Linked DNA regions of Saccharomyces cerevisiae S288C. Changing the gene in region 4 together with the main gene of any one other region gives a genetic interaction. Each region holds a gene or a part of one and is shown on either strand. Other genes may lie near its edges.

Evidence for each region.
Region 1: mutations in GPI12 (region 4) and HXT4 together harm fitness more than expected from each alone (negative genetic interaction), as found in Saccharomyces cerevisiae (one large-scale study listed by BioGRID).
Region 2: mutations in GPI12 (region 4) and PGA1 together harm fitness more than expected from each alone (negative genetic interaction), as found in Saccharomyces cerevisiae (one large-scale study listed by BioGRID).
Region 3: mutations in GPI12 (region 4) and MCH2 together harm fitness more than expected from each alone (negative genetic interaction), as found in Saccharomyces cerevisiae (one large-scale study listed by BioGRID).

The regions. Positions count from the first base shown.
Region 1 is NC_001140.6:286,581-294,619, forward strand, and holds HXT4 (hexose transporter HXT4), read right to left. Parts: upstream 2,232-8,039; coding exon 501-2,231; downstream 1-500. Other genes in the region: arginine--tRNA ligase MSR1, read right to left, coding at 1-190; AHT1 (Aht1p), read left to right, coding at 2,562-3,110; hexose transporter HXT1, read right to left, coding at 4,333-6,045. UniProt on the Saccharomyces cerevisiae protein: Low-affinity glucose transporter. Can also transport xylose.
Region 2 is NC_001146.8:335,800-342,975, forward strand, and holds PGA1 (Pga1p), read left to right. Parts: upstream 1-3,812; coding exon 3,813-4,409; downstream 4,410-7,176. Other genes in the region: YGP1 (Ygp1p), read left to right, coding at 746-1,810; ASI2 (Asi2p), read right to left, coding at 2,679-3,548; IGO1 (phosphatase regulator), read left to right, coding at 4,553-5,059; NSG2 (Nsg2p), read right to left, coding at 5,270-6,169; YNL155C-A (uncharacterized protein), read right to left, coding at 6,112-6,336; CUZ1 (Cuz1p), read left to right, coding at 6,717-7,176.
Region 3 is NC_001143.9:1,486-9,400, forward strand, and holds MCH2 (Mch2p), read left to right. Parts: upstream 1-4,621; coding exon 4,622-6,043; downstream 6,044-7,915. Other genes in the region: seripauperin PAU16, read right to left, coding at 325-696; YKL222C (uncharacterized protein), read right to left, coding at 2,018-4,135; FRE2 (ferric/cupric-chelate reductase), read right to left, coding at 7,606-7,915. UniProt on the Saccharomyces cerevisiae protein: Probable transporter. Does not act in the transport of monocarboxylic acids across the plasma membrane.
Region 4 is NC_001145.3:827,737-835,116, forward strand, and holds GPI12 (N-acetylglucosaminylphosphatidylinositol deacetylase), read left to right. Parts: upstream 1-4,602; coding exon 4,603-5,517; downstream 5,518-7,380. Other genes in the region: DNA-binding transcription factor CAT8, read right to left, coding at 1-3,593; AEP2 (Aep2p), read right to left, coding at 5,620-7,362. UniProt on the Saccharomyces cerevisiae protein: Involved in the second step of GPI biosynthesis. De-N-acetylation of N-acetylglucosaminyl-phosphatidylinositol.

The DNA.
Region 1 (8,039 bases), on a different chromosome or scaffold from region 4:
CGGGTTGGTCAGTATATTTTGTATTCAAGGTTTTTGAGCTGTATCTTTTCCGTCCAATATTAATTTCTAATTTACGAAATTGGTTGCTGAACTGGGTGTCGAACGAGGGCATGAAGCCATAACGAGGGTAAGAAGAAAAGGGGTTCTTGCAGAGTAAACTGCGATTCTTCAGATAAACTATCCCGAACATATTGACCCACTTTCAGGTAGGTCATTCAAAGCTTTTTGATTGACGGTAGATCAAAGTTGTGTTCTACGTATTTACGTCTTTTTTGTCGTATTTATTGATGACCTTTTGCCATCGTTAAGTGGAGAATTCGGCCTATTCCTAACCTCTTCCAGAACTATGAAACAAAAAACATAATTCAAAATTGTAGTTTGATAAAGTATTATCTATAAACTATTAAATCATAAATATATATTTCATAAAGCGTTAAAAATTGAAGATCAAATATTATTTTTATTCCTTGAAGGAAGTCTATATTATTTAATTAACTGACCTACTTTTTTCCGAACATCTTCTTGTAAAATGGTTGATCATCATGCATTAGATCATCAGCGTTGTAGTCAGTACCTCTCTTGTTTGGTGGAACCCAAGAAGGTGATTTCCATGGCAAAACACCTTCTTCCCATAAGGTGTTAACTTCTTCTAAAGTCAAACCTTTAGTTTCTGGAACGAAGAAGAAGACGTAGAAGTAAGAAAAGACCAAACAGCCCATGAAAACATAACCGTAGTAGAAATCAATAGCACCTGAAATAAATGGAGTAAAGAAACCAATCAAGAAACCCCAGATCCAGTTACAAGCTTGAGCAATAGCCATACACTTGGACTTAACTCTCAATGGGAAAGTTTCAGAGTTAACAACAAATGGAATTGGAGCCCAGGTAGTGGCAAAACAGAATAAGTAGAAACATGTGAAGACAATCATACAGTTACCAGCACCCTTAGAAGACCCGTTCTTCTTACCATTTGGCCACAATCTTGTAACACCAACAGAAGCGAAAACAACCATACAAGCTGTCATGGAAGCAGCACCCCATAATAAACATCTACGACGACCATATCTTTCGACTAAGAAAATACCAACAAAGGTGGAAGCAAAGTTGACAATACCCAAGACAATAGAAGTTTCAAAAGAATCTTCCAAACCGACAGCAGTGAAAACGGTAGTACCGTAATAGAAGAAATAGTTATCACCTGTCAATTGTTGCAATGATTGAATCATAGCACCCATGATCAAACGTTGGAAAACCTTAGTCTTAGTGCTAAATATTTCACCCCAGGAGGCATTACCAGCTAATTTTTCAGCTTCAACTGTAGCTTGAACAACTTCGACTTCAGCCATAACAGCTGGATCGTCTGCGCTGACCTTATTTGAAAGAGCAATAGAACGCTTAGCTTCTTCAATTTTACCGACTTCAACTAAATAACGTGGAGATTCTGGAACGAATGTCATACCACCAATCATAAACAAAGCCCAAGCGAAACCTAGACCTAATGGAACTCTCCATTGGACAGAATTGGTGTAGGTCTTGGTACCGTAGTTTGTACAGTAACCCAAGAAAATACCCAAAGTAATCATAAGTTGGTAACATGAAACCAAAGTACCTCTAATATGCTTTGGAGAGACTTCAGAAATCAACATAGGAGATAAAACGGCAATACCACCGACACCTAAACCAGAGATAATTCTACCAATGAAATATTGGTACCACTTGTTGATTGAGGCAATTTGGATAATGATACCGATAATGTAGATGACAACAACGACAATCAAACCCATTTTACGACCATACATATCACCTAATTTTGCTAAAATAATACCACCAATGGCACAACCAATGTTGAAAATGGAGACAATTAAACCAGTTCTAACCTTAGACAAATAATAAGTACCATCGTGGTGCTTCATACCAAATCTTCTGATAAAATCAGTTTGAGCAACAAAACCAGAAATGGTACCAGTATCCCAACCGAAAACAAAACCACCGAAAGCAACCATTAAACAACAGATGGAAACTGTAACGTAGGCGGAGGCGGGCTTCTTTGGAATTTCAACGTAGTTATTAGATTCTTCGTGATTCTCGTCGAAATCTTTCATGTCATCTCTTTCAGCTTTGTTGGATGGAGTAGACAAAGCGGAATTAGAATCGGATTCAACTGGCGACAAAGCATCAGCTGGAGTATTTTGGACTGCTGTATCCTCTTGATAGGCAGCTTCTTCAGACATTTTTGGCAGATTTTATTGTAAAAGTGTTTCAAAACCAAACCTTGATAAGAGGCTTTGAATATATCTTTTCTTTATGGTTTCTATTACTCATGAAGAGGAATTGAAGTGAATGAATCGAGAATAATGAATAAAACACTGAGTATTTATATAAAATTTTTTCTAGATGACATATTATTCATTCCCCAGTGTTGAAGCTTTTCACCACTAATTGACTTGAAGATTATTTTAGTTGCTTTTCTTACCACCCCACCTTCATAAACTTAAAAATATTATATTAGAATTTGAGTTTTCCTCCGTTGTTTCTTAATCAGAATCGTTAGACGCCGAATAATGGACTGTAAAATCAAAGCAGCTGGAAAAAACTCTGGAATTTTTCATGAAGGTGGCACTAAATCGTCGAAGAGCTTCTTGACCGTTTTTATCCGAAGTGTTTTTCCTCTTTCCCCAAGTTTTCCTGCAGGCGGGGGAATATGGGGCCCCATGGAAAAAAAACCGGGGGGGGTGGGAAAAAAAAAGGGGTCAGAAAAAAAAACTGCTCAGGGAAATATCTTCTTCTCCACAGAAAGAGACGCAGGCCAGGAAAAATGTGGAATATTATATAAACATTGTTTTTCCATTTTGTACGGATTTTTTTGGAAGAAAGCGGATAAACCGAAAGAAAAAACGGGAAATGGTTCCGGTTTGGGCATTGTTTTTCCTATTGGGCAAAAAAAAATCCCGGAACCAGCTGACTCGGATATTTTTCTTCCTTGTTTCCGCTATGCTGCTGCAAGTGACTTTACGAAGGCCAAGCGTTTCTTGGTGGAAATTACTGCAGTGTACTGGGTTTCGTTGGAGGCCCAGCCTTCATCTGCGTCTTGTTTATTCATTCTCATCTGATTATTATATCTTGATCGGTGCAAAAAAATTTTGAGGTACTTAAAATTTATTTTGCATAGAGATATTCGCATAAATGGAAAACCTAAGCTTTTCAGGTACGACTATTTGGCAACATCGTTGAACCTGGCTTTTCGGTCCTAACTTTGCACCATCTAGGATGAGACTATCTTGACTGTTTTACTTTTACGCATCGCTAGAAAATACGTGCGCGTTGCCAAATCAAAATTCCCGCAAATTGATGCGGTAGCGTAGTTCTGTTCCAAAATGAAAGTGAAACAACATAATGTTCCTTCTAGTTTTCGTGTCTGAAAGCTAAACCTCAAAGTTGAAACTAAAGCATGATTCCCCACCTCCTTCCTATTAGTCTTTTTTCCCGTAAAAGTTGGAAAATATCTGGGGTACTTGCGTCAGCTGTTCAGATCTTCTCTTACCGCTGTCGTGTCTTGTCTACAATGTCAGGTTGGCAGCCTAAGTTTTGGATTTAATAACCCTAGGGCTTTTCATTCTTTTATCAATCAGAACATTTACATGAAGAGGGCTGGAATAAAAAAAAAATATTCGGTTCTCCTCCATGCATAATGACGTAGTATTCTTATTGGCGCCAAACATAGTGTCATAATGCTTTTTCAACGATTTTAAAGTAACTCTTAGTGGATTGGAAAGGTCGCCTTTTCGATGGTAGCGTGCATTTTCTCGTCATTTTTTTTTTACTTGTCGTCTTTTCTTTACTGCTTCACCTCTTATCAAGCAAGTGTTTTTCGTGTCTCCCTGTGCCAGTCAGAAAATACATATGATTGGCAACTGTATATCCATTGAGATCGACTCGGTTATCTGTTAATGGAAATTATTGCTAGTAATTATAAATACCTAAAAACAACATCCTAACAGGCTTAAGTAACACTACTAGATGTTGAAGCAGCAGCGTTGTCAATTTCTATTCATTTGACATTTTTCCGAAATCATAAGCGGGCGTTTGAACTATGTATAGCGCCTATGTGGTATTAACCCATACTATATCATATAAAATTTTTCCTCGGAAGAGTGCCAGAATGAAATTTCTTGTTCCTTGGTGAAGGTCAAGAACTAGCAAAGAAAAGAACATCTGTTTATGAATTTGACAAGAATTTTGTTTTAACACCAATATAATATCACCTTTATAAAATTTACTGAGAAATTAAATACTGTATAAGTCATTAAAATATGCATATTGAGCTTGTTTAGTTTATTTCCTGCTAAACAAACTCTTGTAAAATGGTTGGTCATCATGCATTAGGTCATCAGCGTTGTAGTCAGCGCCTCTCTTGGATACTGGAACCCAGGAAGCTGATTTCCATGGTAGAACACCTTCGGCGTACATATCATTAACTTCTTCTAATGATAAACCTTTAGTTTCTGGAACGAAGAAAAAGACGTAAAAGTAAGCGAAAACCATACAGCCCATGAAAACGTAACCGTAGTAGAAGTTGATGGCACCAGTAATAAATGGGGTGAAGAAACTAATCAAGAAACCCCAGATCCAGTTAGCAGCACTGGCAATAGACATACACTTGGATTTGACTCTTAATGGGAAACATTCTGAAATAACAACGTAAGCAATTGGGGCCCAGGTAGTAGCGAAACAGAAAATGTAGAAACATGCGAAAACAATCATACAGTTACCAGCACCCTTTGAAGATGGTTGATCTTGACCGTTTGGCCATAATCTGGTAACACCAACAGAGGCATAGACAACATAACAGCAGACCATACCGACAGCACCCCACATCAAACAGTTACGACGGCCAAAACGGTCAACGGTGTACAGAGAACAACAAGTGGAGAAGAAGTTGACGACACCAAAGACAATAGAAGTTTCAAAAGAGTCACTTAAACCGACAGCCTGGAAAACAATGGTACCGTAGTAGAAGAAATAGTTATCACCAGTTAATTGTTGTAGAGATTGAATCATGATACCCATCATAGTACGTTGAAACATGGCTGGTTTACCAGTGAATAATTCGCCCCAAGATGCAGTACCAGCGGCTCTCATTTCTTCGACACTGGCTTCGATAGTTTCCAACTCATATTGAATGTATGGATGGTCAGGTGGGCATTTGTTAACTTTAGCTAAAGAAGCCCTGGCTTCGTCGATTCTGCCAGCTTCAACCAAATAACGTGGAGATTCAGGAACAAACATCATACCACCAATCATAAATAAGGCCCAGGCGAAACACAAACCTAATGGAACTCTCCATTGGACAGAGTTTGAGTAATTCTTGGTACCAAAATTGGTACAGTAACCTAAGAAAATACCTAAAGTAATCATGACTTGGTAACATGAAACCAAGGTGCCTCTCATTTCACTGGGGGCGACCTCAGATATTAGCATGGGAGATAAAACTGTGATACCACCGACACCTAAACCAGAGATAATTCTACCAATGAAATATTGGTACCACTTGTTGATCGAGGCTATTTGAATAATGATACCGATAGTGTAGATTACTACAACGACAATCAAACCGATTCTACGACCATACATATCACCTAGCTTGGCTAAGACGATACCACCAATGGCACAACCAATGTTAAAAATAGAGACAATTAAACCAGTTCTCACCTTGGACAAGTAATGACTACCGTCGTGGTGCTTCATACCAAATCTTCTTAGAAAATCAGTTTGAGCAACAAAACCAGAAATGGTACCAGTATCCCATCCAAATATGAAACCACCGAAAGCAACCATAACACAACAGATAGAAACCGTTACGTAGACACCTTTTCCGGTGTTTGGAGGGGCAACGGCGGGTTGCACTTGACTTTCACTTAAGTTGTCGTGAAAACTTTCATTTTTACCTTCTGGAGTATTCATGGCCTTTGAACGACCAGATTCCAATTCATATGAGTTGGATGAATTGGATTTCTGAGGAGATATTAGATCGGGAGTTGAATTCATGATTTTACGTATATCAACTAGTTGACGATTATGATATCTTTATAGATTTTAAGGTGGGGAAAGAACATGAGACCCCAGATGGAATTGATTATGGGGACATTGTTGCCTTTATATATAATTTCAATATACTAATTCAAATGATTAAAAACGTGAGGGGGACACGCAACTTCGGGTGTTAAGAAATATTTTGCTACATTAGATAATGGTGGAGTTTCCTGGCTTGTCGGATAAAAGCCATCAAATGTCGCAGCAGCTCATGTTTACGTTTGCTGTCTTCTGCCCACGTCATATGAGTGGTATTCTTCTATCAGCACTTGATGAATATTCTTTTTCTCATATATCTGAAAGACAAAAGATCGGCACGGCAATGCCCTGCAGCATTTCTTCCTAGTTTTTCCGAATTTCCATTACGTATTGGATCTTGTGCGCATATTTGTCAGTCCTTCACGGAAAAAAAAAAAGAGCACTGGGTCACTTCGGAAAAACTTTTGACTCAATGCAACAGTGTCATAATCCTTTGCGCTGTCTCTTTGAAGAAAAATCAGGAGTGCAAGATATCGATTAATTCCTTGGAAGTTATGATGGTTAGTCTTAGTTTAACTCTCTTGAAGAAGGGTTTTTTCAGTTGGTCAACACTCTTTAGAGGTAAAAAAAAAAAAAAAAAAAAAAAAAAGAGAATTCTTCATGTAATTTACCATGATTCTACGTTTTTGCAAGCAAAAATGAAGATAATCCGAGCGCATGCGCAAGTAGTCCCTGCCATGCCGCTTCGGAAAAACTTTCGAAACCAATACTCCTTACATCCGCCTTGAATTTAGGACCTACAATTGTTGTCTCTTCTGCTTGAACCAATAAGCCCTAGAAACCTTACACCCTAATTTGCACAAGAAAACTACGAAAAAATTTTTTCCTCTTTTTTCCGCAGCTCCAATCTCGCCCTGCTATTTTTTTGGTTCGGAGAAAAATAGTCGGTCGATATGAATTGAAGTTTCATTGTGGCCACTCGTTTAGGAATGGAATAACCTCCGCGAATGGAAAAAAAGAACTCGGAATATCAAAAATTCCGGCTCAAAGGAAAAATTTGCTTCAGGAGGGGGGAATTATATTCCAGATGAGACCTGCAAGGATTTCTGTGTGAGGTTTTCTCGGAGGAATAATAGTTTTCCAAAAATTACTTTTGGCAACTACGTGAATATAATTGACTACGGATATCCTTCGAGAAGGCCATAAAAAGAACCGTGACAGGGCCAAACAGAAAAATAATGAAGACAAGTTTGCTTTTTCTCTCACTGTATTTGAGGATCGGAAGCTTTTTGCACTGAAAATATTCTGGGTTAACAAGGTTTAAAGAAGCAAACTGCCACAAAGTATATGAGAGTATAACCGGACGGTACCTATACTTTGAAGTTGGAATAAATACGGGGTAGACAAAAAGGATGTGTTTCTGTATGTCTGATGAGAATGATGTCATCAAAGAACGTAAACAACAGTAACTGTCTATATTCTTGCTTTTTATTATGCGCTGTTACAGCAGGTAGCGGAGTTTTCAGTTCTTTCCCTAGTATGTAGTATGAAGGATAATACGGTAAAAGAACGGGGCTCTTGATTCATCATATAAATTTATTTTCCCCTGTTGAAACCTCGAGTAACCGTCCTCACTGTTTTATTACCAAGGATGAGCTCGAGCAGTTGTAAGAGAGAAGTGGGCAGAAAAGTATAAGTAACAAGAAACGATATACAAGTTCTTGTTGTTAGGCGTAGCAACCCTTTCTCCCCTGGTTTGATCCTACTTAAAATAAAGAAAAAAAACAAAAACGTCATGATGATTTTGATATTATTAGACATACGTAATTTAGTTGAATTAAAGGAATAACAGGCAGCCCTATTAACCACGGACAAAATATCTCTGCATATGATTGCATTATTTGTAAACTATGAATGAACATATGAACGAAAACGATTAATATTAATATTAAAATTTGAAATGGTGCAAT
Region 2 (7,176 bases), on a different chromosome or scaffold from region 4:
GGGATCTCTTTCCAGAGGAAGGGGCCTTGATGTGGGATTGAAGACACATGAGTTTTTTTCTCACCGTCGAAACTTTTGCTTACCCGTAAAACATCGGCCATTCGTTGGTTTATTATGTGACTTTTTTGTGACTTTTTTTTTTGCGAAGTTTTCTCGTCATCCGCGGAAGATCCGGCGGGCGAAAAAGTCTCTCACTTTTACCCAATCGGGGCATGTTATGTGGACATGTTATGTGTCCAAGAGACACATGAGCCCAAAAAGGGTACACTGTCTAAATAGTTTACCCTTTACGAATCGAAACTTCTCGAAGAAGGGGCCGAAAATTAGCGCAGAAGTTGACGAAAGTTTATACTTTTCCTAATGGAGAGGCTCAGGAGCTGAAAAGGGATATATTCGTACTCTATTGCATCTTCAAACTCCGAAGAATCTCAGTAGGGAGTGAAGCCGGCTTCTCGATGCTACAGTTCAACATCGATACTTTGAAGAAAGAAAGCGCCTATTATATCTCTTTTACCCTATTAGTAATAATTAGGAAAAAGGGAGAAAAAAGTACCTCACTAAAAAAACCATCATCTCTGAAATATAAAAAGCTTGATAGAGGGTGACATTTGCTAGAACTTCTGCTGTGTTCTCTTGGGTTATTGCTCTTATTGAATATCCCTTCTATTTCTTTCTTGCTTGTAAAAAATCAGCTCAAAAAACATCTACAGGATTAATCGTCAGTTAAGTAATACAGTAATAGAAAATGAAGTTCCAAGTTGTTTTATCTGCCCTTTTGGCATGTTCATCTGCCGTCGTCGCAAGCCCAATCGAAAACCTATTCAAATACAGGGCTGTTAAGGCATCTCACAGTAAGAATATCAACTCCACTTTGCCGGCCTGGAATGGGTCTAACTCTAGCAATGTTACCTACGCTAATGGAACAAACAGTACTACCAATACTACTACTGCCGAAAGCAGTCAATTACAAATCATTGTAACAGGTGGTCAAGTACCAATCACCAACAGTTCTTTGACCCACACAAACTACACCAGATTATTCAACAGTTCTTCTGCTTTGAACATTACCGAATTGTACAATGTTGCCCGTGTTGTTAACGAAACGATCCAAGATAAGTCATCCGCCGGTGCCGTTGTTGTTGCCAACGCCAAATCTTTGGAAGCTGTCTCATTCTTCTTCTCTATCATTTTTGACACCGAAAAGCCTATTGTTGTCACTGAAGATTCCGCTTATGCCATTCCAGTCGCTAACAATAAGAACGCTACCAAACGTGGTGTCTTGTCCGTCACTTCTGACAAATTAGTGTACTCCGGTGTCTTCACTCCACCTACTGCTTGTTCTTACGGTGCTGGTTTGCCTGTTGCTATCGTTGATGACCAAGACGAAGTTAAATGGTTCTTCGATGCTTCTAAGCCAACTTTAATCTCTTCTGACTCGATTATCAGAAAGGAATACAGTAACTTCACTACTCCTTATGGTCTATTAGAAAACGGTGTTCCAATTGTTCCAATTGTCTATGACGGTGGTTACTCTTCCAGTTTGATTGACTCCTTGAGTTCTGCCGTTCAAGGTTTGGTTGTTGTTTCTTCTGGTTCTACCAACTCAACCTCATCTACTATTGAAAGCACTGAAATCCCAGTCGTATATGCTCAAGCTAACACTCCATTAAACTTTATTGACAACAAAGATGTTCCAAAGAACGCTGTGGGTGCTGGTTACCTATCCCCAATTAAGGCCCAAATCTTGTTGTCCATTGCTGCCGTTAATGGTGTCACCTCCAAGTCCGCTCTGGAAAGCATTTTCCCATGAACTGATAGATATTAAATCTAGCGAAGCATAGAGATTCTTTTTTTACCAGTCATCATAACCATTATTTTACAAAATTTCCACGCAACAGCTTTTATTTTCGTTCGTAATAGGAACCATACTTCCCATTAAAGCAGTATGATTGTTTTATACACCTTTTTATTGTTATTTAAGACATACCCCAAATAATTAATTAATTAATTGATGAAAGAATCATATAAATTCTTGGCCATACATATTTTTTTATTATCTTTTGCTACATTGACCATAGGTGAATATCTTCCCGGGGTGACACTCCACTGAAGTGGGAAAAAAAGAAAAGTTTTAAAACATTGCTCACCTTAAGTCTCGAAGGTCTAGCATTCACTACCTGTAAGTGTCAAGACCCCACATGTATACATGGATACAATAAAGAAACAATGTCCGTATAATTTGTATACATTTTACTACAGATAAGGGATCTCACCCCCTTCTTTTGTGTCTAAGTGAAATCTTCTGATATATTTAGTGTTTTATAGCGTCCATGTTTTAAACTAGAACGGCAAAATAGTAGTTGTTGTAAACGCTTATTTTCGAGACATCAGGTAAAAAGGATAGTTAAATCTTACAATCAATGCATGTAGTGAGTGGCGTTTATCAATAGTTTTTAACAATTCCCATTTTGAAAGAAGCCCACAACAACCCTAGTAGTTCGTTAATATACGTTATGATGGTCAAGTGTCACAGTACGGAAAGCTTGCAAACAGCTCTTACATAGAGGAGTTGCTTCAAAATAAACGTCCTCTGGTGTCAAGTGTCTCATACAGCGACCACATGCGAAAGAAACTACTACAGATAAGCAAATACACAAATTATAATCGTGGATTCATCATCAGAATACGCCTGGCCCTGTAATCCTTTGGCTCACCAACATTCGATGGACACCTTTATATCTTCTAATAACAGTGAATAATAGACACAATACGAAGAAAAACCCAGCGGTAACCATGTAAACGGTACCACTTACGCCATAAGCTAAATAGATCAGAATGGTAGAGACTTTGACAAATAGCTCGAAAGCTTTAGCGAACATTAGTCTTATCCAATTTAAGTTGGGTTCATTGCCATCTCTACTTTTCATAATATGTTTTATCACAGGTGAAGAGTAAAATACAATGATGTTATGAAACTTTCCAAGCAACCCTAATTTACCAGTATCCTTATATGCTATTAATGTCGTGCCACCAGAACCAAATATCTTGGCAAATTTCCAGTATCCCACGATTTCGATTATAAAATCATTCTCTGAAAAGGTCATTGAATTGAACCCGCTCCTTAATATGTTGTATACGGAAAATGGGAATAAAATTAGCCCAATAAAGTAATCTAAAATGAATAAATTTCTAAGAAAAGTTCTGAGAGGGCTCTGCTGCCTTGCTGTGAATGGGGAATCGGCCGTATTGGCGTTGGTGGCTCTTATAGTGTCTGCATTGATTCCTCCATTTCCGTTTGTGGTTGCATCCATATTAGCTGCTCTATTTATATTTGAAGTAGAACTCATATTCCTCCTAAGGGAGTTAAATATTCCATCGATTGCTTGCTGTACATCCTGCTGTAGTTCTTGCTGAGATTGCTCGGTTACAGGTGAAGGCTCTCTACTATGCCTCGTTTCCGATTCTTCTAGAAATCGCTGAAACAGATAATCATCATTATCGTCTCTTTCTGTCCAATTACTGCGGCGATGATTTTGAGGCCTCGCCATTTTTTCTCACTAAATGCTTGTGAGGATGTATGCGTTTGATTCGGTGTCTCTTTAATCATATTCCCGAATCGACCCTATTTGAAGGTAGAGGGAGTTGTTTCCTCTCACTATTGTTATAAAAGATCATCAATGACGGAAACTAATATGCAATGAAAAAATGAGAAGTTTACATGAATATGAAGATTAACTGCACAGCAATGTTGTTGACCCTTGGTATTCGCACACACTAAGCCAACATAGGTTCGTTCAATTTTTAAAAAGAAGATGGTCCGGCCTCAGAATGTTCACTGGTTTATCGCTACAATTGTATTTTTCATCGGATTTGTACACGCTAATACAGAATCAATCTTATATAAGGTTCCTCACAACTTTCCCCTCAAAAAACCAAGAGACAGCTCTACTTATGCAAGAGATGTAAACTTGATATCTTCCATATCACTATCGGGAGAAGCAATGAGTCAGATCACTATCGAGGCCAATACCACTGACTTGGAGTTGCATAATACTACGTATATTGAACTGGCGGACTTACAGCGAGACGAAACATATCAGATTAAAGTGTGTTGGTCAGCAATACATCCAATTTCCATTAATAATCTCCAAACTATCACAATACCACGTTTCACTGAATTTCAGGGAACTAAGTCAGACTACGCGAGAATACTAGTGACTTTCCAGGTCTTGTCTGACTCGTATCCTAGTGAGCATGCCATGGTTCCAATACAAGTCTCATTAATCACCACTCGGCTAGGTATCCCCGTGGATATTTACCCAACATTAATCGTTATGGTGCTATTAGTAGCAGGGCTTGTTGTTACCCGGGCACCACACGTATTGAACGATCTTTTGCTGAAATTTTAGTATGGAAGCCTGAGCCCCCTTTGGCTGGATAGCTTGGCCTCATCACAACTAGAACGTAAAAAAGTCCATTAACCATCAAATGCTTCTCATTAAAGTGGGTATTTTTATCGAAAGAAAGGGACCTGAATATCTAACTCGCCGCTATGTCGAATGAAAACTTATCTCCCAATAGTAGTAACCCAGATTTAACTAAACTGAATAACGGCGAAAGCGGAACTATTGATACCAGCAAATTCTCGCCCAACGAAATGAAGCTATACAAAATGTACGGAAAGCTGCCATCAAAGAAAGATATTTTTAAGCATACCATGCAGAAAAGAAAATATTTCGACAGTGGTGATTACGCTTTGCAGAAAGCTGGCATTCAAAACAATGATCCAATAAACTATGGAAAGAATAACCTGCCATTAACAAATCCCAGCAAACTACGAGAAGATATAATAAAAAGAAGGATAAGCACTTGTCCGTCAACTGCCTCAACCGCTGGTGTAGTAGATAATGCGACGTTGATACAAAAGGAGGGAAGTATATCGAGTGGACCACCATCGTCTAATAACGGTACTATTGGAGGTGGTAGTACAAGTTCAACGCCAGTGGGGAACCACAGCTCTTCGTCGTCCAGTTTGTATACTGAATCACCCATTAGATAAATAGACAACCTGTACTTTTTTATATTTTTTTAGGGAAAGAGAAGGGTCTCTTATATTTAACGCTTATTATGTGATTTCTCGAAATGTCAAGTGTTACAGCCATATGGCTGACTGTGTTTACGTTAATTAGTTATATATAAACGATAAGCCATTCTGATGTTATCTTCTTGTACTTCTAATTAATAATATTTACTCGTCAGAATTTCGACTTTAATGAGAATATAGATATCTTCCTAGTTTTCCAAACATTAGAGAACCAAGGAAATAAAAATCCATGAAATATAAAAATTGGGAACCGTCGATAATATCTTTGTAGCAAGAGATACAACAACCCACCCCAATGCAGATGCAGCTCATTAACATGGATATTGAGCCGTCAAAAAACAACCACAGTATAATATTCAGAAGCCCCCATGCCCCTGCCGCCTGCAAAGAGGAGTTCCACTGTATTTTCCTGATCCCAAATGTGACTCCCAACATGGCATTGATACTTCTAATAACAGAGGTCAAACTGTCATGGTGGACAGAGCTCTTAACAACCTCTGTTTGAAAAATATTATCCAGAATTGGTACAACAGAACCAAATAACAGTCCTTCAACACCGTAGCCTAACCAGTTTGGCAGAACCCCATTGGATAGCCAGTTACAAAGTTTGACACCCAGTAGAAGGGGTCTCGATGCAAAATCTGGATGTAAGAGATGATTATCGTGCAAGTTTCTGGACAGTTCATGATATGCGAAACCGCTCAATGACAAAATTAATACAGCTTGCAGGTAATGAAGAATATTTTGACGAGTTTGTCTGGTTCTTGACGGAAAGTTTTCGTGAATGGATGATGCTGATAAAATCCTTTCCAAATTATTAGAAGATACTGTGTTCCTTGGCAGCGAGCCGCCAACCTTATGGGCCAAGTAAAAAGTCGAATCAATAGTTTGATCTCTACTATATTTGGTAGAATCTATAGAGACAGAGCGTTTCAATTCTTCGTAAATTTCGTTATCTTCCGATCTCACGACGTCATCATCATATAATGAATAAAGCTGCGGTTTAGTCAGAGAGCAGATTGATTCGGTGCTCTTCTTTGGATCCGGTTCTCCTCTATTGGCCATTCTGTATGCTGTTTTCTTTGAGAAATACTTTGTCGTTTATCTTCGTCCTTGTCTTCTTTTTGGTCCTTTGTGTTTGAGTGCTTTCCAAACTTTTTCTTTACCTTTTGCACGCCAACTACTATGCCCTTTATTGCAAATAAAATAGGTACTACAATAAGCCCTATCATCAATGTTGAGCTGTCAACTAGAAGTTTAAGGAAAAGAACATCTCGAAGTTTAGTAATTTCCTTGCTTTCATATTTTAAATGTCTAGCTAATTTCGTATCTACCCTTTATCTCATGCCGATAAAAAGAAAAGTTCCCCCCTCGTGGCCAGCGACGTTCGTATATACATAAAACTGCCTCACCCTCCTTTCGGTGGCAAAAGCATGTTCTACAAATGAGTATAAAGATGTAATAAGAGCTTGTACAAGCAAGGACTCGAGCTAGGGCGGAAGTGTGACAACAGTGAGCTATAGGCACATTGTAGTGTACATCTACTGCAAGAGCTTGCATTAATTTTGATATAAAAAAAAGGACCATCAACTAATTTTTGCTATATTTAAGAATGTCGGCGGCTATCGAAAAAGAAACCGGAATGTTGGATGTAGGAAAGCACTGTGCATATTGTAGACAACTAGACTTCCTACCTTTCCATTGTTCGTTTTGCAATGAAGATTTCTGCTCGAACCATAGACTTAAGGAAGATCACCACTGTAGGTGGTTGCTAGAGCATGAAGAAGTTCATAAAACTGAAAAAAGTCCTAGCAAAAGCCGGGATGGCTCAAGTTCTAACGATGAAGCATATTTCAAGAGTCTGTTACCTGAGAGGGCCAGTGTTAGAATCCAGAGAGTAAGTGAAACAAGAGAGCCTTTGAGAGGTTCTAACACTGCCAAAGTGAGCTCTACTTTGAACTCAAAGACATTAGACAAAATATTTAAGTTCTTCCAAAGGAATGAGAAAAGAAAGAGCAATAACAAATCAAAAAAGAATTTCGGTTCCTCGTCGAATAAGATAATTCAATTGG
Region 3 (7,915 bases), on a different chromosome or scaffold from region 4:
AGAAGCAGCGACTCATTTTTATGGAAGGACAAAGTGCTGCGAAGTCATACGCTTCCAATTTCATTGTTGTTTATTGGACATACTCTGTTAGCTTTATTACCGTCCACGCTTTTTCTACAATAGTGTAAAATTTCTTTCTATGTTTATCATATTCATAAAATGCTTCACGAACACCGTCATTGATCAAATAGGTTTATAATATTAATATACATTTATATAATCTACGGTATTTATATCATCAAAAAAAAAGTAGTTTTTTTATTTTATTTTGTTCGTTAATTTTCAATGTCTATGGAAACCCGTTCGTAAAATTGGCGTTTGTCTCTAATTTGCGATAGTGTAGATACCGTCCTTGGATAGAGCACTGGAGATAGCTGGTCTCAATCTGGTAGAGTACCATGGGACACCAGTGATAACTCTGGTGACTTGTTCAGCTGGAATACCAGTCAACATGGTGGTGAAGTCACCATAGTTGAAAACAGCTTCAGCAATTTCAACTGGGTAGGTCTCACTTGGATGAGCTGCTTGAAACAAGTAGTATTGGGCCAAATGAGCTCTGATATCGGAGACGTAAACACCCAATTCGACCAAGTTAACTCTTTCGTCAGATGGAGATAGAGTGGTAGTGGCTGGGGCAGCGGCAACACCAGCAGCGATGGCGGCGACACCAGCAGCGATTGAAGTTAATTTGACCATTATATTTGTTTTGTTTCTTAGTGCTGATATAAGCTTAACAGGAAAGAAAGGAATAAAAACATATTCTCAAAGACATACAGTTGAAGCAGCTCTATTTATACCCATGCCTTCATCAGTCATCACTACTTAAACGATTCGTTAACAAGTGCTCATTTAGCACCTCACATATCCTCTATATCTCATCTTTCACACAATCTCATTATCACTATGGAGATGCTCTTGTTTCTGAACGAATCATACATCTTTCATAGACTTCGTATGTGGAGTACTGTTTTATGGCACTCATGTGTATTCGTATGCGTAGAATGTGAGAATGCCAATTATAGGGTGCCGAGGTGCCTTATAAAACCCTTTTCTGTGCCTGTGACATTTCCTTTTTCGGTCAAAAAGAATATCCGAATTTTAGATTTGGACCCTCGTACAGAAGCTTATTGTCTAAGCCCATATTCAGTCTGCTCTAAACGGCTTCCATGCAAGAAATATTTCTATCTCTTGAATTCGTACAACATTAAACGTGTGTTGGGAGTCGTATACTGTTAGCGTCTGCAAATTCGTGAATTCTCCGCGAATGCCTTGGTGCAATTACGTAATTGTAGCCGCTGAAGGCGGATGGTATTGAGAGAAGTTGATGTTCAAAGAATCGTGTATGATAAAAATAAAATTGTAACAGTTTATAAATACTAAACTTTACTTGAAAAGTCTTTTAGTCCGAAAATGAATGTGGGAATACTAATTACAAGCCTCCCATGGCACTTCTTCATTTCTTTTTGACTACGAACATGGCACTTTTTCAATTAATTATATTTAATAAATATTTCTTTTTACTTAAATTTTACAAAACCCAAGGTCATTATGGTGATTAAACCACAGTATATATATGTATATGTTGAAGAGGTTTCAATTCGGCCAAAACGACAGTACTATATCTGAGTCTGCACTAGACAATATTGAATTTACTTACCAATTAGCATTAATATACCAGAAAAATATCGAATTTCTTTTTCCGGAATAAAATACTTCTCTTTCAAAATATTCATTTGCAAATTAGAATACATAGGATATTATGATGTGCACCTAAAATATAGAGAAACATACTTAGAACTTACATATCAAACGTTATCTTAGTTATTAAAAATGAAAAATAGCTGGGCAGTGACACCTGAAATACCCCAAAAAAAAGAGCAACTATCTAGAAAAGTATGTAGAAGTCCGAAAGGAACAGAGGGTGCCACCAATAGCTTTCACAAAGAGTTCCTTTCGTGTTGGCAAAAAAAATGAGTCACTTACTACAGGTTCAATTTTTATAATTCAATTGTTGTACCTATCTGGAAAAGAAGTCCTCAAAATTACTCCACCCGGAAATAGCTGTATCAAAGAAGGCACTTGGAGAACCTAATATATCATCGATGAAATTTTCCGAGAAATCTTCTAAAGGTCCCTCTAAATCATTTAGTATAGTTGTTAAACTGTTTTCAGTTGCATCATTTTCGGTTTCAGGCCCTTCATCGATATTTTTCATTCCTTTGTTAAAAGCTCTTCTTCCTATTTTTTCCATTGATATAATAATAGAAAAGTAATAGGAGTTTTGCCAAATTTGAGTAAGAGGTTTCAACTTTTCTTGGTGAATATGATCAAATATGTTTTCCATTTCTTTAAATGCAATTTTCAGTGAAATACACTTATTGTGTGGACCCTCAAAGTCTCCAGGACATATAGAATAAGTTAGTGCGGACGAATTTCTCTGAATGAATAATTGGATATCTTTATTTTCCATATACTGTAGAAAAATGGTATAAATTTGAATTAATGCTCTGAAAGCGTTCACATAAATAAGAAACAACGCATTGTTTAAATGGGGCCATTTTTTGGAGAGGCATAATGACTTAGAAGATAATTTGCTGTTGTCTAATTCAAAATAGGTCTCAAGGACATTAAAGCACAAATGTAATGAATTTAGTGGAGCCAGGACGCTAAAATTGAATATTCTCGCATCAAAATCTTGATGTGTTAAGGTATAAAGATTGGATAAACTTCCTATCATATGGAGAGTTGCATGCCATAATTGAAGTTCGGTGAACTCATTACCATTTAAATTAGATGCATTTAAGTAAAAATCCAACGGCTTAAACATTTTAATGGTGAACTTTTTTAAGTCCTCGATGATGAGTGGAATGTCAGGCGGTTTCTCACGAGCATGAATTTGTTTCATAATATTTCTCAGTCTTAATGTTGTTTTATACAGAAGGATGTCCCCTGATGAAGAATAGTTTTCTAGACGTACCTTGTTTACAAAATCGTCGTTGATTCGGACCGGAATTCCTGTAGAGAGTGAAATTTTAACGTCCGTGAATAGGATCCATAACCACAATCTCTCCAAGTAAGGTATTTCCTCTATTGGATGATTTTTACTCAGATATAAACGACGAAGATCTTCATTAAGGCCCATATGGATAGCTGTGTCAATTGTCAGACCATGAATAAATATGCAATGTGACTGATCGCCCCCGTCAAGACCCGCCACATTTATGTACAGGTAACGTAAAAATAAAAATTGCACACGCTCAGTATAAAAAACTTTAGCCGAAACAAAAGACGTTAAAACTTTATGGAAGACTTCAATAGCCTCTGGCACTTCTTTTGGATGGGATGCTAAGCACATAATGGCTGTCATAACACCCACTTTATAATAATTTTTTTTACTGTCCAGATTAAGGGAAATTATTGTGTGCTGACCAGTTTTATGACTTCTTGGGCCTTTAACAAAACAATCTTGCAGATCCCTTAATACTTTTTCTTTATGAACAATTTGGTAACTATCGTAAAAATCGCTAGCAAAAAAATCAGTTAAATACTCACACAAAACTTCATAATTTGGAAGCGATTCACATAAGTATTCAATAACACTTGGTGAGCCTGAGTGCGGTGGGGCAGTCTCAATGGAACTAATCTCCGAGAGTGTTGAGTAATGATGCTCTCTTTTCCAGTTGTTACGGCTGAGTTTTAGGACTTGCCATATCTCCTCTCTGTATTTGGCAAAAGTATCTGTTTGAGTTGCTAATATTGCTCGATACGACGTTGGTCCATAAAGAATGTGCCTATTGTGCTTTGAAGATAAATATCTCATGTTGGAAAGAGGGTTTTGTCCTTCGTGAATGTTAGGCTGGGATTGTTTTGTTAGCTGAGATTCAAGCTCTTCAATACGACGAGCCATCTCTAATTTTGAACATCTCCTGTATTTTTTCCTGAGTTGGTCCTCCATGGCGGAAGTGTTTTCTTTATATTCACATTGCTTTCGATTTCGAGAAGAGCAACTTCCACAGAACGGTCTTACTCGATCGCACTTGAGCTTTCTTACTCTACAAAAGTGGCACGACTTTGCAGGCTTTCTTCTACTCTGCCTATCTAATTTTTTTTTTTGACTAAGTTCCGTATTCTTCATTTTCTATTGATTATGGAAAGTATATTGCTACAGATTCATTATTTCCAAAGCAACCGTTATTGGTTACTAGTGCTGGACAATTGATATGTAATCAGTTGCTATACATCTAGATCAAGTTGCTCTCTTCTTTTGACGTTTCGAATATTTTTTGACTTCAAACTTGAAGTGCACACTCATCTTTTCAAGGTTTTTTATGATTCTCCGTTTTATGGCTATTCCCGCTTTTAACATAGAGGCGATGCATGGAAGACAATAATTATTTTAAGGTGCTTTTGAGATCAAGATATTTTTAAGAGTACTCACTATGGGTATGAGATAATAAAATATATTCCGTTTTCTTATTATTTCCATTCTTCAGATTTTTACAGGCTAAACACACATATATAAAAATGCCATCGGATATTCAATTCAGTATCCTGCTATTGATATAGAACTATATAACTGATACTAGAATATACTAATTCGTGCACTATTAACCGTTTGGCGATGTCCGAAGAACGGCATGAAGATCATCATAGGGATGTTGAAAATAAATTGAATTTAAATGGTAAAGACGATATTAACGGGAATACCTCAATCTCGATCGAGGTGCCTGATGGAGGATATGGGTGGTTTATTCTTCTTGCTTTTATTCTGTACAACTTTTCTACTTGGGGGGCAAATTCTGGTTATGCTATTTATTTAGCGCATTATTTAGAGAATAATACTTTTGCTGGTGGGAGTAAATTAGACTATGCTTCTATAGGTGGGTTAGCATTCAGTTGTGGACTTTTTTTTGCCCCAGTTATAACATGGCTTTATCATATATTTTCAATTCAATTCATTATAGGCTTAGGGATACTGTTTCAAGGGGCAGCGCTACTGCTTGCAGCTTTTTCTGTCACACTCTGGGAAATTTATCTCACGCAAGGCGTTTTAATTGGATTCGGTTTAGCATTTATTTTCATACCCAGTGTCACACTCATCCCACTATGGTTCAGAAATAAAAGATCTTTAGCCTCTGGTATAGGAACTGCTGGAAGCGGGTTAGGTGGTATTGTCTTTAACTTGGGAATGCAAAGTATTCTACAAAAGAGGGGCGTTAAATGGGCGCTCATTGCTCAGTGCATAATATGCACATCACTTAGCACCATTGCGCTTATGTTGACCAGAACAACACATCAAGGCCTACGTCAACATAAGAGATCTTACAAATTTGAATTGCTAGATTATGATGTGCTTTCAAATTTCGCGGTCTGGTTACTTTTTGGATTTGTATCATTTGCTATGTTAGGATATGTTGTCCTTTTGTATTCCTTGTCTGATTTTACCGTTAGTTTAGGTTATACTAGTAAGCAAGGCTCATACGTATCGTGCATGGTGAGTGTCGGCTCTCTGCTGGGACGACCAATTGTGGGTCACATTGCTGATAAATATGGATCACTAACAGTTGGCATGATATTGCACCTTGTCATGGCCATCCTTTGTTGGGCCATGTGGATACCTTGTAAAAATTTGGCCACTGCGATAGCTTTTGGATTATTGGTTGGTTCTATTATGGGAACAATTTGGCCAACAATTGCTTCAATTGTTACACGCATTGTTGGTCTTCAAAAGCTTCCTGGTACCTTTGGTAGTACCTGGATTTTTATGGCGGCTTTTGCCTTAGTTGCCCCCATAATCGGTCTGGAACTTCGTTCAACTGATACGAATGGAAACGATTATTATCGTACAGCAATATTCGTGGGTTTTGCGTACTTTGGTGTTAGTTTATGCCAATGGCTATTGAGAGGGTTTATAATAGCTCGAGATGAGATTGCTGTGCGTGAAGCCTATTCAGCTGACCAAAATGAATTGCATTTAAACGTTAAGTTATCACATATGAGTAAATGTCTTTTTCGTTATAAACAATTACCTAGGAGAGTCTAAAGGTCACTTTTATTTCACACTGTAGATAAGAAGGGGATAGAGTTGCCAGAAAATTTTTTGCTTTATCAGCTTTTTAGATTTGTCTTCTCGTTTTATAAATAATGATAATTTAGTACAATAATAGATAATAAAAACATTTTTTTTTGCAAATTGAAAGCTTAACTGGTTTTTTAAAAGAAAATATTAGTGACCTTCTACCGACTAAAATCTTCCACTAAATCCCCAGTAGAAACATAAGATAAGGTTGAAACTTTTTTAGGGCGATTATATTTTTAGTCCTATACATGTTTGATGGCATACTTTTTAAGGAAGATTTATGAAGCTATGTTCCACATAGGTTTATGTGCTATTGATATATACTATAAATAAAACGCTCTACCCAAGAAATGAAACATTTTTTAAACTTTTGTCATCAGCACAAAAATATGCGGATTTACGCGTTTGTCATTCCTATAAACCTTAACCTTAACGCGAAACCATATTTCGCTACCTAATGTTGGTTCGGTGCATTTTGAGAAAAGGAACTAGGTTCAGATATCATGCATCGAATCTATTATCTTCCAACCGAACTTTTACAAACGTTTAGACCGAGCGTTATTGACTGAATTAAGAGCAAGTTTTTACACGTGTGACTCTGGCACATTAGAGCTGTTTGAGAATCTAAAGTCTTGCTGTCTAAGGACCAAAAATAATGTATTTCGAGGTCATAGCTAAGAATCTCATTGTTCTTCAGCACTTGCTAATCACATATCTATTTCTAAGTACAAGATGATAGTTAACAACTAATAATGAATAAACCAGGTAAAAAAAAAAAAAGAAAAAGCTGTAAAAGACGACAACGTTGGCGTCGCGAAAATATTAATAGAACCATATGTTGGATAATGTAGCCTCTATTATACACTTATCCCGATTACATTGTTTTAGCGACGGTAATCATCTTTTTATCCGGCACTCTGAATCAAACTCTATCTTTAAGTATCCTATATGCATGAGTTATGTCGATTATATCGAAGACTCGGTGTGTGATATTACTCCACAGTACAAAAACAGGAATACAGAGAAAATTGAAAAGATATATGAACGGATGGTATGGTAAATAAAATAACAGCCATTATAAAGCTTGTGGTAAATTTTCCAGGACGGAAGTTAGCTTATGCAGTTTTGTTTATCTTCCTTGCATCTGTGTATAATACTGAAACACGCAATTAACGTTTCATAAAATTTGCCTGAGGGCCGTATAAAAATTCAGTGACCATTGTTCACACTTTAAATATAGCCAAATTGCCAAGAAAGGGTTTCATTGCAGGTTTATCGAAATATTAACTCTTTAAATACAGGGACTATACAGAGCTAACTTCTTAAGAAAAAAAACCATGCGACACACTACGACTTTCACAAATTCCATAAAAGAGATATTTAAGATTTAGATAAAATATCAAAGGACTGCTGTACTCTGCTTCAATTACCTCCTTACCATAAAGTTATAGGCAGCTTTCTCCATCGACATACTAAAATTTGGATAGGTATTATTAATGAAATGACTAGTTTTAAGTAAAAAATGATCACCAGCATTGATACTCTTCAAAGTACTCAATGGCTTTTGCAGACTTATCTAAAACTATTTTTGCGGTTTCATTCCTCACTTTGTCAACAAAAATAGGAGGTCCACAGCAAACCACAGATAATGAGCCACTCAATTCAGCCGCTTCATGTAGAAGTTCCTTAACATTTGGTCGCCCGCAATGGAAAACAACACCATCAAAACCAAGTGGATTGGCAGACTTTTCTAAAGTAGTTGCCACAACAGTGCCTTTTTCATCAGCCTTCTCATCCTGTTGAGAAATATCTAAACTATCACTAGGGGTTAATGAT
Region 4 (7,380 bases):
TGATCATTTTGGTATAAAAAGTTGTTAATACTAATATTCGAGAAAGAATTATCGTTGTTCAGCAATCTCATTAGCTTTGTTAGGCTGTAGTTACTCTTGTTGTTGAAAGAGAGATTATTCTTTTCCATATTCGTACTTTTTCCTTTCTGATGAAATTGGTTGTTTTTTGAATTCTCAGGGTTTTGCTTAATAACGGGTTCTAATTGTTCCGGTTTAGAGTCCATATTATCCTTCATTAGATCTAAATTACTTGGTAGACTGAATATCGCATCCATGTGCATAGGCTTATTCTCAATCGTGTTTTGACCTATATTGGAGTTACCGGTCTGTAAGAATGGTGCCATATTTAAAAAGCTTAAGTTCTCTATATTGGCATCCGTGGCATCTGTAGAAGCTCTGTTACACACATCCACGTTGCCATTATTAGTATTCGTACAATTCGGTCCTTCAGGATGGGTGAACAGCGCAGTAAGGTCTGTATTACTAAACGAAAATGGAAACAGATTGCTGGTGGACATGTTTTTTTTGGTATCATTCTGGAAATTATGTGCGTTCTCCCCCTTGGATATACCGCCATCTTTTGCATTTCGTTTTGCATCTTTTTCATACTTTAATCTCTTATTACCATTAGTTGTATTTGTCATTGGAGAGTGACCCGCTTCAGAATTATTGTTATTATTACTATCGTTTCCATAAAGATACTCGTGTTCTGGGTTTTCTCTTTTGACATTAGGTGTTCTTTGTCTATTTTCCAGGCTGTTCTTCGATTGAGAGCCAAATAATGGTTTTAAGGATGTGGTTGTGGCCGGTGGTAACCCCATCAATCTATTGTAGTAATTCAATTTCTTTTCCAAGAATTTATCCAGTCTTTCAACCTTAACATTAGGTGCTTTCAACAACAGGTTGATGCTCATGTCAAACAGTTTCAGCGTGTGCCAAGAGGCAATTCCAGGTAAATCCAAAAGCCTATCGTTTTCGATATCTTTGATGGTGTCGAGGAGAAGATTTTTATTATCTAAGAATAACGCACCACCTTTGGTATATTCCAAAGAACCTCTAGCACAGAGCAAAGAAAATCTGATTAACGTTCTTGATACATTCAATGGCAAAGGTAAATACATGGAATTAATGGCCTGGAAAATCGTAAGCGTTGCATTGGTAGCTTGTTGTAAAATGATATATGAGGATGATGTCCTTATAGCAGGAGAAGTCATATCAACATCTAATATCATGTGGTCCTGGTTGGTTGCGCCTTTAGAGTCGTTGTTGAACATTGACTGTTTCTTCTTTGTGGCATTATCAACATTCTTAGGCAAAGGTTTGGTTGCAATAACCGGTAAATGTATCATAGATTTGGCCAAGAAATAAAACAGCAATAGAATCTTCTTTTCAAATAATATTATGTCTTTCTTATCAAATTTGGTCTCAGTATTTCTTTGATTGGTTGCTCTAATCTCGTCTAAATTCACAGTTCCGTTTACAGTTATTTGAAAGTAGTACATTTCGGGAAGTTGATTTCTCCAGTTATCCAGTGCGTTTTCATGTACTAATGCAACTTCAGAAGTTATACGTTCATCCATCATTCCTCTCTTAAAAATCGAGTCTAGAATGTTACCTAATATTTTCGCAAATCTGATTATCTGCAATGAAAAGCTTGAAACTTGACCTTGCAGTTGAATCTTTTTAGCTTTTTTATCTGCTTTTTCATTTTCCATAGATAACTGATCCTTATACTCAACATCAGAAATTGGTAATGCACATTCAATATCAAAATCCTTAAGTAAACGAGGAACACCAAGTTGCAATGAGGCAAAAACGTCAACGTAATAAATTGCCCAAAACAGTAATCTCCTCTCGCTTTGCTCAAATTTTTGTAGAACTGGGTTAGAGTGTACACTTAATACGGCACTAGGACATCTGTGAAGTCTCAATTGTTGTGCCATAGAAACAATACGGCCTCTTACCCCATAGATTGCCGAAATATCACCCACGTTTAAATAATAAAAGGATGCCAAAGATAACAATTGTAAGGATGGTAATGAAGTTGTGGACATATTTAAAAAATAAGGATTTTTAGGAATTATTAGGGAAAGCTGATGATAATATGCCATCAATCTAGCATATTTGGCCTTCGGATTCTTCGGTACAGTGTATTTTATTTTTTCCATTTTAATCTTAACGAGTAACCCCATTTGTAACATCATCAGAAGCTTTAGGGCAAATATTTCATGATTAGTGGTGACTGTACTTTTAGTAGTGTTATTCGTCTCCAAATTTTCTGTAGATAAATGCTTCACGACTTCAACAAAATTGTTGAAATATATTAAGAAGTGGTCATTGTTTAGAATTGGTACCTGATTAGACCAAAATTTGAAAAAAAGGTGTAAAAGCTCTTTAATTTCAGTGAGGGAAAGTAGTTCATCATCCTGATCATTAGCCGGCTTTTCTGATTGCTTTGAAAACGAGTTAATGTTAAATTTCAAAGAAATTAAAAACTTTTTCAAATCGACAAACTCGGAGAGGTTTGTGCTTTGAAACCTTTTCACAAAAGCCGAATCATCATCAAGTTTTTTATCTTCATCTTTCTCCTTTAACTTGGTTGATGTTGAAGGTGCTAGAAGCCGTGGTGCTGGCAATCTATTTTTCAATGAAGATAATAATGAAACCGTATACAAACATTGCTTTGAGTTGAAACCAAATATTTGTCTTATCCTAGTTAAAAGCTGAGGAATAAACAGAATTTCTTCAGTAGATCTTGGGATGGATAAAGAAACTAAAGTTGCCAATTGAGTGCTACGTTGATGAGTCGTCATTGATTTTAATGCCTTTACCGCAGGAAGACCAGGTGCCTCGTCCTGTTCAAAAGATATAGCGGTTGGATCGTTTAAACTCGTAGAAGTAGGCTTGACGTGTAAATGATTTGTACAGGAAACGCCGTCACAAAGATGGTCTTTGTGTGGCGGTGGAGGTGGTGCCCCCAATGGACTCATTGCAGAACCGCTATTATCACCATCCATTTTGCCATTTTGTAGCTGCTTATTAACCGTTTGATTTAATAAATAGATATTTGTAGAAGACAGATTCAATGGAGCATCTTTCAAATCATGTTTGAAATTGCCATTTATGGTATTATCCGTTGATGTCTGTGGTCGCGACTGTGAAACAAGGCTTATTTGCTGTTCTTTGATATCACACAAAGCTAGCAAACGCTTATTCTCTGCCTCCAGTTCGCGTACTCTTTCTTCCAGGCTTTCTGTGTACCCTTTTGGATACGCTTTCCTCAGTAATTTATCGCTTATTCTGCATTCAAATCCGACAGCAGCACACTGCGAACACTGTGGTCTTTTTCCATCGCACCTTGTTTTCTTAGATCGACACCTGTCACAAGCTTGAGCTATCCTGTAAATAGGTGTAGATAAAGGAGTCGGAGAAGCTGTCTTGATCATTGCTTCCTTCACGTTCTTGGAAAAATGAGGGTTTGCCTCCGAACTTGAAGTTCTATTAGATATGCTAGGACCGCTAAGCGCTTGTGAACCCAGAGTTCTAATGACTCTGGGTTCCAAACCTTGTCGATCAGAATTATTATTTGCCATAATTTTGTGTCTTGTCTTTTACTCAACTTGTAAATTCTCTTTAGGGTGTTGTAACTGTTTATGAAGAAATAAATACCGTAATGAATTATTAAATTATTAAATTCTTCGTCTTTTTACAATATCACAGGTTTAAAGGGGAGTTTAACAAAATCTACTATTTTACGGCTGTTTTCTTTTTTTGAGTGTCACTGACCAATCATGCTTTCGTACCCCACAAAATATCAGCCCCGCCGCTCCATGCATGTCTCGGTTATCGCTTAATACGAATATAATCACTGAGAACCTCGGCGGCAAAAATATTTACCAATAGGCAAATTAAACACCGAAAAAAAGAAGTTTCAAGTAGAAGATTATCCCGAATACCAAAAAATTGCACGAGAAAGAATGTCTTTTTATGATTTATTGCTTATAATACTCAATTACTCTGGTTTTCTCCGTTCCTGTTACGCACATAAACTCTCTCTGTCTCTGATATCACAACTCATATCGCGAATAAACACCGGATAGAAAGAAGTGAGAGGAGCTACGATAACTGAATATACTCTTTCATCAAAAGTAATGTGCTAATAAAAAGAAATGTTGCACCATCTTAACAGATGTAAAAATGTTCTGCAGAAGGAAAGTTGTGTAATCATACACATTCAATAGTATAAGTCGTATCACAATCTGATGATAAAAGTTGTTACCTCTTTTAACTGCCTCTGATCCTTTTCACATTCAGTAATTTCTCGTAGATGTATATGTGCGAATGTGTCAATGTGTTTGTATGAAATAAACTAGTAGCCGGGTAACAAGTACTCCTAAATTCCCGCTTCGCCGTTTCTATCTCATTGGAGTCGTCCCTTCTAGAAGGTTTACTAGTTACGTTAACGTCATAGAAAAAGGAAAATCGACGCTGCGCTTTTATTTATAATCTTGCATTGCCCTCCTTATTTATCGAATTGTTAAGTGTAGATAGGTGACGCTAGAGCCGTATATTAGATTCTTTCAAACCCTGAAGAAAAGTTAAATGAAGATGTTGAGGCGTACAAAGGTAAATTTTTCAAAATTGCTTTACAAGATTACTAAACTAGCAATAGTACTGACGATCCTATATATTTATTTTACGCCCAAAATCGTCTCCCGAAACAATGCATCATTGCAGCATATTTTTCCTCATAAATATGGCGATTATGAAATCAATTTGGTCATAGCGCACCCTGACGACGAAGTTATGTTTTTTTCCCCCATAATTTCTCAACTGAATTCGTACTTTCCGAGAACCGTCCCATTTAACATAATCTGCTTATCAAAGGGCAACGCCGAAGGTCTTGGCGAAACCAGGGTAAGAGAATTAAATGAGTCGGCCGCTTTATTGCTACACAATGAAAGAGCAGTCTCCGTACAGGTGATGGATTTCCAGGATGGTATGGACGAAATATGGGATATTGATTCTATAACTTCTTCTCTTTCACAAAAGATAGATATAAAGAATCATAACTTGAACCAGATTATCGTTACCTTTGATTCATATGGTGTATCAAATCATATCAACCACAAAAGCTGTTATGCTGCCGTTAAAAAGTTGGTGGATGATTATGCTCAACCTAAGACCAAAAGAAATGAACAACCACCTCATGTCACTGCGCTTTATTTGAGAAGCTACAAGAACAACATCGTTTTAAAGTACAACTCCTTTATTTGGGAAATCCTAAAAATACTTTACGACCTGATTTCTCCATTCCGTAGAATAATTCAGGCGCTTCCGCCTAACACAGCCGCCGAAAAAGACAAGCTTTCACTTATGAATACACATGCACAATACGTACTAGCGTTTGCCACTATGCTAAATGCTCACGAATCCCAAGTTGTGTGGTTTAGATACGGATGGTGGATATTTTCCAGATTTGTCTTCGTTAATGAATTTGATGTTTATACATATTAGACTCTACACTGTAGATATATATATAAAAAAGTCCCATATTATTTACATCCTATAGAATAAGAATATGGAGAAAAATAAATGCTAATTCTACTTACACTTTTCTTACCAAAGGCTACCTATAATCATACCATCATCTTCATCGTCATCGAAACTATCTAGCCGCACTTTCTCCCTTTCCTTTTTGTTCTCAATCTTGTTTTTCATTTTCTTACTTCTTAGAAACATACGATTCGCACAAAAAATATTCAAATCTTTGGTCATTTTTCTATCAAAACCATAACTATCAATGAATTCCCTTACCGCTGAAAATCTACCTCTATTTACAAGCTCCTTAATAATACATTTTTGGTATTTGATAATGATATTGTTAACTTTTCCAGCATTTTCTGCTCTCGTTCTTTCGATCCCCGGTTTGAAACTCCTTAAAACATCAATTCCAAGCGGGAAATTGCCTGTTTTCTTCATGATATCGTACAGTTGTCTCAACGTCTCATAATCAACTGAAGGCCTTAGCCGCTTAGATGCATACCACTGCTTCATTAAATGCCAACATCTAACAACAGAAGTGGCTTTCTTGTCGTTTGCTGGTGTCCAAGCAAAATGACTTAGCTGAAACAGCCTTCTCCAAAATAGCGCATCCAATTTCACGTCCGGATAGTGCTTTATGAATGAATCCAAAATACTTAGGCCTCTGTGAAGATCGTGGTCATTAAAGTAGAATGACACTAAGATTGAAACGAGTATTTTGGAACTAGGATAGCACCCTCGGTGCTTAATTACTACGTGACTAGGAAACTCTTGGGGTGATATTTGCCATATATGTTCAATACACCGTTCCAATATTTGGGTTTGGCCTAGGTGTCCAAAGGATTGAATTAAAGTGGACAACAAATCCTCGGAATTCAAAAGCTTTTTCTCCTGCAGAGCAAGATCAGCAATCTTTAATAATGTTTGGTGATCCATGGCTTTGTAAGTAGAAGAAAGACGAATTGACGTATTTTTCGCACCTAGTCGAACCATTTTTCTTAAAAAACCTTGTTTTTGCTCACTATTATCTGGTATTTTCCAATAAGGCGCCAAAGCGCCACAACGCAGTTGTAAAAAGTGAACTATTGTGCTAATATCTGCATTTTTCGGAGACAGTAATATATCAGGATTTCTATCAAGAATAAAGCTTAAAATTTTTTGAGCCTTACCTAATTGACCGAGCTCTATAAAGTTCTTGATCATAAGATTTGCATCAAATATTTCACATGCATCTAGTTTCGTATTCCGTAAGTTAACTTGGTTTCTCTTGGCATCAACTTTTTCTGCATATAAGGAAAAAAGTTTGAACCAAAATTCTGAATATTTAGCGTTTATGTCTCTACAGATTCTCCTAATTTGAAACCGTTGTGTGTATAGTTTGCTCAAAAGAAAAGACAGGTCCTCTAAAGACAGAACATCCTTCGGTTCAGGGTCCACGGTTTTCGCGAATAAGTAACTTATACTCTTGGAAAATTCGGATTCATCCATTCCACTCGAGCTGATAATTCGTTTTAATGTGTGAACATCTATAGGTATACCTTTTGCCTCGAATTTGTCATAAGCGCTCCCATTATTTTCATCTTTTGATCGATCAATTGCACATACCGTGTGAGTTGAATAGGATTTTTTGATTAAAATATCATTTATGACAGCCCTACCCATTACATACGTTCTTCGGGGATAGACAGAATGACATATTGTGCTATTCGGCAGTACACCAAATTCACGCAGCGATTTCACTGATACAGTGCAGAGCCTCTTCGTGTAAAACCTCAGAACACTGTAGGATGGATGTTTAACCAGTCTATTTATCCACATTAATCATAAATTTAGGTA